2 linked regions of the Oryzias latipes genome follow. The main gene of each other region encodes a partner of the protein of the gene in region 2 in a complex. Links are inferred from orthologs where the notes say so. Each region holds a gene or a part of one and is shown on either strand. Other genes may lie near its edges.

What was found. Proteins that work in one complex are often made in the same cells at the same time.
Region 1: the proteins of anks6 (region 2) and anks3 are in contact, whole or in part, in a crystal structure (PDB 4NL9), measured with the Homo sapiens proteins. The link is inferred for Oryzias latipes from reciprocal best matches to the Homo sapiens genes ANKS6 and ANKS3. Residues at the interface, in NP_775822.3 of Homo sapiens: Glu796, Gln797, Glu798, Val799, Asp800, Glu802, Ala803, Thr806, Leu807, Asp811, Glu814, Leu815; in NP_597707.1 of Homo sapiens: Lys441, Tyr442, Thr470, Leu471, Phe472, Gly473, Pro474, Arg476, Lys477, Arg484.

Annotation. Positions count from the first base shown.
Region 1 is NC_019877.2:9,256,017-9,261,103, reverse strand, and holds the start of anks3 (ankyrin repeat and SAM domain-containing protein 3), read left to right. Parts: upstream 1-1,542; 5' UTR 1,543-1,652; intron 1,653-1,690; exon of another isoform or gene 1,691-1,783; intron 1,784-1,851; 5' UTR 1,852-1,863; coding exon 1,864-2,030; intron 2,031-2,105; coding exon 2,106-2,304; intron 2,305-2,383; coding exon 2,384-2,505; intron 2,506-2,918; coding exon 2,919-3,000; intron 3,001-3,143; coding exon 3,144-3,261; intron 3,262-3,343; coding exon 3,344-3,493; intron 3,494-3,609; coding exon 3,610-3,726; intron 3,727-3,811; coding exon 3,812-3,921; intron 3,922-3,997; coding exon 3,998-4,159; intron 4,160-4,240; coding exon 4,241-4,365; intron 4,366-4,456; coding exon 4,457-4,598; intron 4,599-4,676; coding exon 4,677-4,938; intron 4,939-5,009; coding exon 5,010-5,066; intron 5,067-5,087. Other genes in the region: c19h8orf33 (UPF0488 protein C8orf33 homolog), read left to right, coding at 190-336, 442-653. UniProt on the Homo sapiens protein: May be involved in vasopressin signaling in the kidney.
Region 2 is NC_019878.2:10,677,300-10,682,421, forward strand, and holds the start of anks6 (ankyrin repeat and SAM domain-containing protein 6), read right to left. Parts: upstream 3,088-5,122; 5' UTR 2,776-3,087; coding exon 2,447-2,775; intron 1,137-2,446; coding exon 924-1,136; intron 839-923; coding exon 643-838; intron 7-642; coding exon 1-6. Other genes in the region: rps20 (40S ribosomal protein S20), read left to right, coding at 4,040-4,042, 4,564-4,663, 4,849-4,922, 5,023-5,122.

The DNA.
Region 1 (5,087 bases), on a different chromosome or scaffold from region 2:
TAGTGAGATAAAACCAAATCTCATACCAAATTACAAAAAGAAATCAAGGAAAATTTAGCGAAATTATTAAGGTGATCAAAAACAGCATGAAGTACTAAGCAACTCAGTTGCTGCTGGTTAACTTTTAATACTTCTTGGTCTGGTCATCACCTACATTTCTTAGAGATTTTATGTCTTTACTCTCTGCAGAAGAAGAAGCATCTCGCGCCCTGAAAACTCTGCGCAGCTCTAAAGCTCCTCTGGCTAAAAAGAGGCAGGTGATGAGAGCCATGACTGGAGACTACAGGAAAAAAATGGAGGAAGAGAGGACAAGGCAGTTCAAGCTCATTCAGGGAGGTGAGTTGAATGTTACGCAAAGAGTAAAAGTTGTTTATGTGACAAGTTATGTCACAGATGCATTGTTAAGTGATGGTTTGGTTTTTTTTGTTTTGTTTACAATAGAGATTGCATCAGCTCAGGTCAAAGTTGCATCAGAGGCCCCAAAGAAATCTGTTTTCCATAGAAGAGCAGGAGTCAAAACACAGAAACTGTCAACAGATGAGAACCTGCATCAGCGTGAAGGCCAGGATGATGCAACACCACAGTGTCACACAGAGACGTCATCTTTTCTCTTTGTTCCTTCAAAGGAGGAATTTTGTTTCAATTTTTTCTGATATTTTTTTTTTCTTTTTGTTTTGCACTCTGTGACTTTTCTCAAAACTCTTGTTATGTAACACCCAAACAGTAAAGCTTTCCTCAGGATATTTTTTATCAAGAAAAGCTTGCCTCAAGATATTTTTGTCAAAATGCAAGAAAATTACAAAGTAAATACATTTAGCATATCAGAGCAGGAGTTTGCTCTAACTTAATATCTACTTTGTTGTTTTGTTGAACCTATCTAAAGAAAAAAACTAATTTAAGGATGTCTTATGAGGTGACTTAAGCATTGTCACATCACAAGACATCCTTAAATCAGGTGACTCAATGCATGAGTCACCTGATTTAAGGATGTCTTGTGATTAAATCCTTAAATCAGGTGACATAGTAAAATTGTGTAGTGTACAAATATGAAACTGAACATTCAAATGTTTTCATTGTTATTTTGAAGTTCTTTATTTCAAAATAAAAGTGTTTCAATTTATTTTTCTGAGTTTCTTTATTTGGCACAGACATAAGCTAGAAGAAATTAGTATTCATATGAAGAATTTATGTTTTAAGTAGTTTTTTTGTGTTGCTTTCCTTTTAAGCATTTGGTATAGTTAAAAAAAACTTTGAGCAGAGAGAGGGTGTTGGTGAAATTGTAACTAAGCTGTTGAAGTCTGCAACGGGGAGTGAAAAAAGGTTGATTGACAGAGCTTTATGAAGCGGTAAAATACTACTTTTTTGTTTTAAATAATTATTTGTTTTAATAATTGTGGATTTTGGGTCCGACTTTTAAAACTGTTTTTTTAAATTTCTTTCATTATTTTGAGGTAAAACATTTAATACTTTTTTTCAAAATATATAAAAAAAATGTTTTCTTTTAATTTTATGACGAAAATAATTTCCAGTAAAAGTTTTCCCCGCTTTTTAACCGGAAAAGGCGGGGCTCGTTTCTGCACGAGCCTGATTTGATGTAACATACAAAACAAAGAAAGTTTGGGGTTCCAGATGCCTTAATTCAACTCCTGACTGTAAGTTTTTATTTCAAGATACGTTGATTTTTATGTATTGATTTCTTCTTTTCATTAAAATTGTCATAACATAATTTTGCATTGAGTAACGGCCTTTTCGCCATGCTAGTTTAGCTCAAAGAAGAAAGAAAGTAAGTTGGGGACAGATTTAGTTTTCGTAGGGAAAGCACCACGTTTTCGTGTTTTTACTTCATTTCAGGCACGAACGAAAATGTCGGAGTTAAGTGATGAATCCAGTGAGTCGGAACAGCTGGGGGCCAGCCTCTCCCTGTGGCTTGGTGACCCCCTGGTGCGATCGGAGGAGCTGAATGTTCCTCTGGACCTTCACACCGCCTGCTCCATCGGACAGTACGGGGTGGTGGCTGAATGCATTCAAACGTACGCCCCCCCTTATTTTTACTTATATACCGGTTGAGCTCGCGTACTTCCTAACAGTTCACGCGTTGTTTCAAGGCGTGAGGTGAACCTGGACGCAAAGAACATCGGAGGATGGACCCCGCTCATGTATGCCGCCTACATCGGCCATGACAACATCGTGAATCTCCTGCTGGAGGCGGGTGTGAACGTCAACTCCACCACCTCCACAGGACTAACCTCCCTGATGCTGGCAGCCAGCTGTGGGAACGAGAGCATTGCAGACGTCTTGCTTCAGGTAAGAAACCCCACTCCGTCCGTTCCTTTGAAGCTACCAGCTGCTTCCTCATTGATTGACGGCTCCTTCAATCTAAAAGCACGGCGCTGAGTTGGAGCTGAAAGACTCTCGGGGCTGGACGGCTCTGTTTCACTGTACAAGCACAGGTCATCAACAGATGGTCAAGTTCCTGCTGGATCACAATGCAGATGCCAATGTGAAGTAGGTATCTGTGTGTTTTTAACATGTTCTTGTGGCATTTTTCCGATGATGGAGGACATATAAGGAAAATTAAGCTAAAATTTGCATTTCTGGATATTTAAATTTAAATCGCTGAATCAGAAGCATATGAATAGTATTGTTGAAAAAATGATTATATTTTTTACTGGGCAGCCCACAAGCTCCCTGCTCTGCTCCATTCTGATGCATTCACTTGCAGACAAATTGATCCAACAGCTCTGAGGCAAATTTCAAATGAACCACTGTCGCTCTGCAGAAACTATGTCCTAGAAAACGATGAAGGTTTTTTTTATTTTGTCTTAAAACGGCATCATCATAATTAAAAGACCACTGGGAACATTCAAGATAACTGGAGTGCGACTTTAAAGTTTAGATTTCCCTTTTTCTTCCTCCAGAGAGCCAGGATCAGGGTTCACTCCCCTGATGGAGGCTGCAGCTTCTGGACACGAAATCATTGTTCAGTACTTGCTGGACCATGTGAGTACATCTTCTAGTGGCTGAGACCATTTATTCCCCATTATTTTTATGGGTTTTACCCAACAAAATAAGACACTCCGTACATTGAACATGGAATCACAGTGAGCCTTGTCCCACATCATGACCAGCTAATTTATTTACAGAAAGTTAAAGTTGATGACCGAAACGCGAAAGGAGAGACGGCCCGTGCCCTCGCCGCAATTTATGGTTATACCAAGATTGTCAGTCTCATTGACTCACGTTTGCCAAGAATGAGACTAGGTACTGTTTGGAGAACATTTTAGTTTATATTCCCAAAGTTTTGGATTGCACAGCTTTTTTTTTTGTTGCATATATTAATCAGGACACCTTGAAGACCTCAGCTCCTCGGAGGACTCTGACGGCGGTCCGCCGAGAATTCGACCGAGTCGAAGCCAAGCTAAAGGTGTCAGCATCCACGATGGGCCCCAGGCCATCGCCAAGTTTAGAGTGGGTGGCACAAGCAAGCTTGCTGGTAAAGTCTAAGAAATTATTGCAGAACGCTTCCCCATTTGTTTTTTATTTTTTTATCGGAAATGGTTCAGCAAACGGCTTCATTCTTTTGTCAATCCTAATTTTTTCTCCTGGCAGAGCCTTCAGCCGTAGCGCCAGGCTACATGTTTCCGGGTGAGCAGAGTGAAGGCCTCTGCCATCGCGATGTGACTTCACCAATCAACGAGCTGGACGGCCAGAGCCACAGTAGCAGAGGTAAAACACCCGTCTACCAGGAATAACAGCATGGTTTCCTATTTTTTTTTAAATTGTTAAGAGTTTTTTGGTGTAACCTCTGCAGATGACAGCCCGTTCTTTGAGAACAACCTGCCCACCATGAGGAGCAGCAGCAGCAGCAGTGAAGGCCTGCCTCATGTGATCAACTGTGAAGGCTCCTTGGAGAGTAATGAGGTGACATTTTTGAAATAAACGTCTTCTGTATGTGCTTCTCTTCTGCGTGTAGTCACTGCACATGTTCTGTTTTCAGGACTCTGATCCGTGCAAAAGGAGCAGCTCTCGCAGAGCTGCAAAGAGTCATCACTCGAAAGGAAAGAATCGTCTTGGAAACACTGGTGCTGGTCCTCCCAGCAGGTCGGGCAACTGCAAATGCACACGTGCTGCTCCACCTCCATCCTACAACGGCCCAAAGGCAAGTTTAGCTTTGCCTTCATTTTTCTGTCCTTTTTTTTTGTCTATGCGGATGTGTAAATAAATTCTGTCTATTATGTAGGACCTGGCGGATTTCCTGGAGCAGATCGGCTTTTCCAAATACCTCCCGCTGCTTGAAAAAGAGGACATCGACCTGCGGATATTTCTCACCCTGACAGAAAATGACCTTAAAGAAATAGGGATTACGTAAGATGCCCGACTTTCATCCTTTCAATCCGGACAGGATAATGTTTTGATCCATACTTGGCGCCGTTCTTCCACCGCTCATGCTCTTTAGGCTGTTTGGACCCAAACGTAAGATGACTTCAGCCATTGCGAGGTGGCACAGCAACGCTCGACCCCCAAGTGACGCCCTGGAACAAGCTTATGCTGACCAGCTTGAGGCGGAGATGCAAGAAATGGCCATTCAGCTGCATAAGGTATCCATCATCCAAATCCAAGGATGGGATTTTTGGTGACGCCTCTGTGAAAGCTTTTCTCCAATTCCGCCTGTGTAGCGCTGTGAGGAGGCAGAGAGCCTGCAGAGTCAGGTGTCTCAGGAGAAAAAGCTGCGTACAGTGATGGAGGGATGCCTGATGGAGGACAAAATGGCGTGGAAGAGGGTCCACACCGAGTTAGTGGAGAACCACCGGCTGGCCCAGGATGCAAACGCAACCCTGACAAAGGCGAGAGCCTGTCGAACTGAACTGTTCTCTTATCTAACATCCCATGAGAACAGAGGTCTGGAAGGGGAAGGAAAAAAGAATAATCCGGAAGAAGGTGATTTCTTAGTTTTAAGGCAGTTTTGAACTTTAAACTCCCACTTTAAGAGATCTGATGTCCTGCTTTAGGTGGGTCCAACATACAAGGGCTGATGAAGAAGCTGGACTCCTACGAAGAAGAACTTGGTATGGTAATTCGTTAGATTA
Region 2 (5,122 bases):
AGCCACCTTCAGAACACACAGCAGCACGTCTTTTTACAATGTACCCCAATCACCAGAACCTGATTTTAAAGGCCCACTCCAATGACATTTTTCTTCTGGGGTTTTTAACATGTTCTTGTGGCATTTTCCTGACGTATATAAAGAAAATTAAGCTTAAAATAACATTTTGGGGGTTTTCTTTATTTAAATCCTTGTGAATTGACAAAAAAAATGCAATTTGTAAAAGAACATCTTTGTGATGTGGGGGCACAAGCTTCCTGCTCCACTCCATTCTAATGAATCCCCTTGTAGACAAATAACAAACAGTATGGCTGGATAGCCCCAATTGCTGCACCGCTAAAGCTAGACTGTGGTTGTGAGGGGCTGTAAGCTAGCGGGAGGTGTAACGGAGCTCTCAGCTCTGGATGACGGGAAGAAGGGGCGGGAGTGCTCTGTGGCAACAGTCCTGCCCACCAATCAGAGGTGAATTTCAAATGAACTCCCACTGCTCTGCAGAAACTATGTCCTAGAAATCGACACAGATTTGGGGGTTTTGTCTAAAAAGGGCAGAATCGTAATTAAAAGACCAATAGGATCAGTTTTATAATAGATTAAATAAAGATCGGAGTGTGTCTTTAACAACCATGCATCCTCTGGCTTCACCTTTCCACTCAACGTGGCTAACATCAGTGGCCCCCAGCCCGTTGCCTTCTGGGAAAAGTTGACATCAGAGCCAAATTCTAGCAGCAAATGCACAGTGGCTTCGTGGCCGTGCTGCGACGCCACCATCAGCGCTGTGATGTCCATGAACTCTCTGCCACCTCCAGGACAGCCCTCCCCAGCTCCGAAGCTCACCGTGCTGCAGGGAGATGGGCACCCAAAGGTGAAACAAAGCAACAGAAAGCACACCGCTTCCAAAAAGCTTCAACGAAACAAAGAGGGACCTGTTGTTGTTGTTGCCGTTGGAGGCTTCGTCTGCCACAGGAGCGAGGTGATCATAGTCATCAACGAAGGCGCCGCTTTCCAGGAGCAGTTTGACCACATGAACGTGGCCCCCGCGGGCCGCCATGGTCAGAACACTGGCTCCCAGCCGGTTCCGCCCGTTGATCTCTGCCCCGTTTTCCAGCAGAATGTGGGCCACAGGCAGGTGACCAAACCTGTGAGAGAAACAAGCAATCTAACCATCTAATGTGGATTCAAGCAAAGAAACAAAATATTTCTATTTATACAGAGCTTTTCAAATAATTTAGAATATCATGGAATAATTTATTAATTTCTATAATTCTATTTAAAAAAAAAAAACTTTTATAGAATGTATTTTCAGGTTTAATTGGTTTCAAGTATTTGTTTGTTTGTCTTTACATAAATTGGGGTTCCAGCTCATAAACCCCAGACAAACAAATGAGAATACTGTGGAGAAATCTGTCCTGATTTTTCAGAGCATGAATGCTTTAAAGCGAGTTTCTCCCACACAGGTTTCCCACAGGTCATTAAATTGGTTCAGTTTGGTTCGATGGGGGAGAAGACTTGATAACTAGCCAGAAGGCCATATTTGATCCACTCCATAGTCTGGGTAAGCCTCAAACGTTCCTAGTTTAGGGAGGCTGGCTGTTCACAGAGGTCCGTGTCCAAGCAGATCAATGGAAAGTCCAATCCAAGGACAAAATGTGAGAGGAGAGAATGCAAACAAAGACAACCTCGGGCTTCAGCCGATTATCAAAGGGACAAGATTATTGGGGTGAATACGTTTAAAAAGACTGGAATGAGGTGGAAGAACAGCTTCAAAAAACACCACCTTCAGATGCATCAACAGACGGGTTACAACTGTCGGGTTCCTCGGGTCAAACCCCTTCTGAGCCCGTGCAAACAGAGGAAACATCCCAACTGGGCCAAAGAGAAGAAGAACTGGACTGTTGACTTAGTTGGCTAAGTGGAGGAAGACTGATGAAGAGCAGAACCCTATATGCTTGAGGTCCAGTGTAAAATCTCCACAGTTAGTCATGATGTCAGGTACGAATACAATGCACTGGTGTTGGTAAACTCTGTTTTCTTCAATTCCTGCAGCAGATTATCAGAATGTTCTATAGGACTTGATATGATTCTCTTCTGCTGAGGATCTGGATGGAGATGCAGGACCTGCCCCATGTTATTGAAGTATTGAAGACGGACATTTCATTTTGAAAATACTTGATTTTGATTGATTTGATTGTAATCTCTGTGTTTATCTTTTATGCAAAAACTGAGAAGTAAACAGTGATTTTTTTCTTCAGATTCTTTTTTTTAATTATAATTACTTTTGTTTTATAAGTAAAAAATAAAAAGAACATTTGAGTTAGAATAAAACTGATTACATGCTTTTATCAGATAATAAACAAATCAGACGTTTAGGTCGCAGAGGATTCTGGGAAAGTCCTCATTGAAAATGTAGGATGACATGAAGCGGGGACTCGGGTTCGTCTCTCCTCACCTCGCCGCCTGCATCAGCGGCGTCCAGCCGTAGTTGTTGCGGCTGTCCACTGAAGCGCCCTTCCGCAGCAAGAACCGGACTAGGTTTTCGTGGCCGCTGGCCGCCGCGAACTGCAGGGCGGTGTTCCCCTCCTCGTCCGTGCAGTCCACCGGTACCAGAGACAACATGTCCGCAGCGGCACACTCCGACCCCGCTTCCGACCGCAGCCTGCTCTGCCGCCCGGACTCCTTGGAGGCTCCGGGTTCCAGGATACTCCGAGCCGTTTCATAGTCCCCATCATCACAGGCACGAAAGAGAAGCAGAGAATGAGCGGGGACGCCGAAATTCATGCCTGTCCTTGATGTTATTCCGCCTCAAATTAACTTCAAATTGTTTCATAAGCGACAATACGATGCAAAACGTCCCCGTTACTTGGCCTTATTTTAGAAATCTTGACTCACAGCTAACTTTACTGCTGTGAGTTAACTTTATTGTAAAAATCTCTTGTTTTCGCCCCAAAAGTTACTTTGACTAATTTCTTTTTAACCGCTGCCAACATCTTAATCCAAAACGACTTTCTTAAAACCCACCGGTCTGGTACTGCCCGGTTCCGTTACTTCTTGCTTAAGATTCTTACTCCTATAAAAACTTTCACAACATAAACTTGACTTCCGCTTTCAAAATAAAGATACATAAACGCTTCTATTCAAAAATCTCATATTTTACCCCTTTCTGGCTGCTTGCAAAAGAATTACCTATAACAATATCAATATTTTTGTTAAATATTTTGTAAAAGCAATCATTTAACTCATCCTCCCTTCCAAAATTGAGCATAATACATTTTTAAAAAGCACAAAAAGTTTATATTATTTTGAAAAGAACAAACGGAAGTGTATTATTTTTTTCTTCAAATGTCTTTATGTATTTTGTTATAAAAATTGATAAACATACTTGTAAATAAATATTAAAGACGAATAATTTTTTCTATTTAGAGATGTTTTAGCACGGCTAATAATTGTATCCTTACAATGGAATTCATGCGATTTCCTTGTCATATATTTATTTTAAATAACTTCTTTTTAACCTAATTTTCCCTTGTTACTTGTTATTTTTTAAAGTTAACTACAAGACGTTTTCATTTGTTTAAAAATCAAACCCTTAAAAAATTAAGCCATTTAACCGGGGAAAGCCTTGTCAAATTTAAGACATTTAAGATACTAAAATATTTGCAGAAGTATCTAAATTATTAGCTGTTATATCCTTTTTTAAATCATAATAATATTAAATAGTGTGATACGCGGGTATATAAACAATTTCAGTTTTTTTGTTTGCGCATCCCTGCACTTGTAGTCGCTCTGGTTCCCTCTTGTGGTAAATCCAACAACCTTGTGATTTAAAGGCCATGTTTCGACACTAGATGTCGCCCTTGAGTTTTGGGAGTTCTAAAACTACAGACGAATAAGAAACAGAGGACCCGGATGCAGGGTACATCAACCGGAAACTAGTTCGAATTCGCCCTTTTCCCTCGAAGCTAACCACGTTGTTGGTGTCTGTTCCTGGCTCACCGCTGTTCGCTTGAATTTCTTCCGAATAAGTCGGTCAGGAATACATAAAATGGTGCGTCCGTTTACGTTTCATTTAATAAAGACGTATTTTAATGCAGATTGGTTTCTATAATGATGATAGTTGGAATTAAATTAGTTTTTTAAAAACCCAAACTGCTAGCATAAGCCAGGAGCGCCTTTTTCAGGCTCATCATCGTTAGTCCTTAAACTTAAACATAGCAAATATGAAGACAATTAATATTTTATCTATCTACAGATCATGTACAGTTATTTTGTCTCTGGAGCACATGAACATTTTTGAATAATTATTTTGAGGTCAACGTACCTACGCTTAATTCTTATAGTTGGTCCCTTGTTGAGCAGTAAACGACATTTGTGTAAAAGCAAAACTACGTTAGCGTTTAACTTTCATTTTGTATATTCTAAGGTAAATGTATTAATTTAAATTATTATAGCCATAAAACTATACTAGAAACACCAAGACATCACATGCCTCCTTATGATTTCGTTTTATGCTTCATGCTTTGATTGAAGCCAGTTGTTCGCTGTGTTTACGTGTCAATTGGTTTGCAGGCTTTCAAGGACACTGGCAAAGCACCTGTTGAGTCAGAAGTTGCCATCCATCGCATCCGCATCACCCTCACCAGCCGCAATGTTAAATCTCTGGAGAAAGGTAATTCATCTATTTGATTCATTTGATTTCTTTGTTTTAGTTTGAACCTGAGCAATGAGGATAAGAATTTAACCATGATAAACCATGATGCTTGTATACGCTATTCTGAGCTTAGGCTTTCAGTAGAAGCTACAAAATATATTTTTTGATCGGTTTGTGTGTAATGAATCTGCTTTGTGGTGTAGTCTGTGCAGACCTGATCCGTGGTGCTAAGGAGAAGAGCCTGAAGGTGAAAGGACCTGTCCGCATGCCAACTAAGGTAATAAAGGCCGCCGATCTTTTGATAGTGAAAAACTGGGATTATAACATATCTTTTATTTATTTAGCTTGTGTTAATTTTTTTATTTTGCTGCCTGTAGACTCTGCGCATTACAACCAGAAAGACTCCATGCGGTGAAGGATCCAAAACCTGGGATCGCTTCCAAATGAGGATCCACAAGCGCCTGATTGACCTGCACA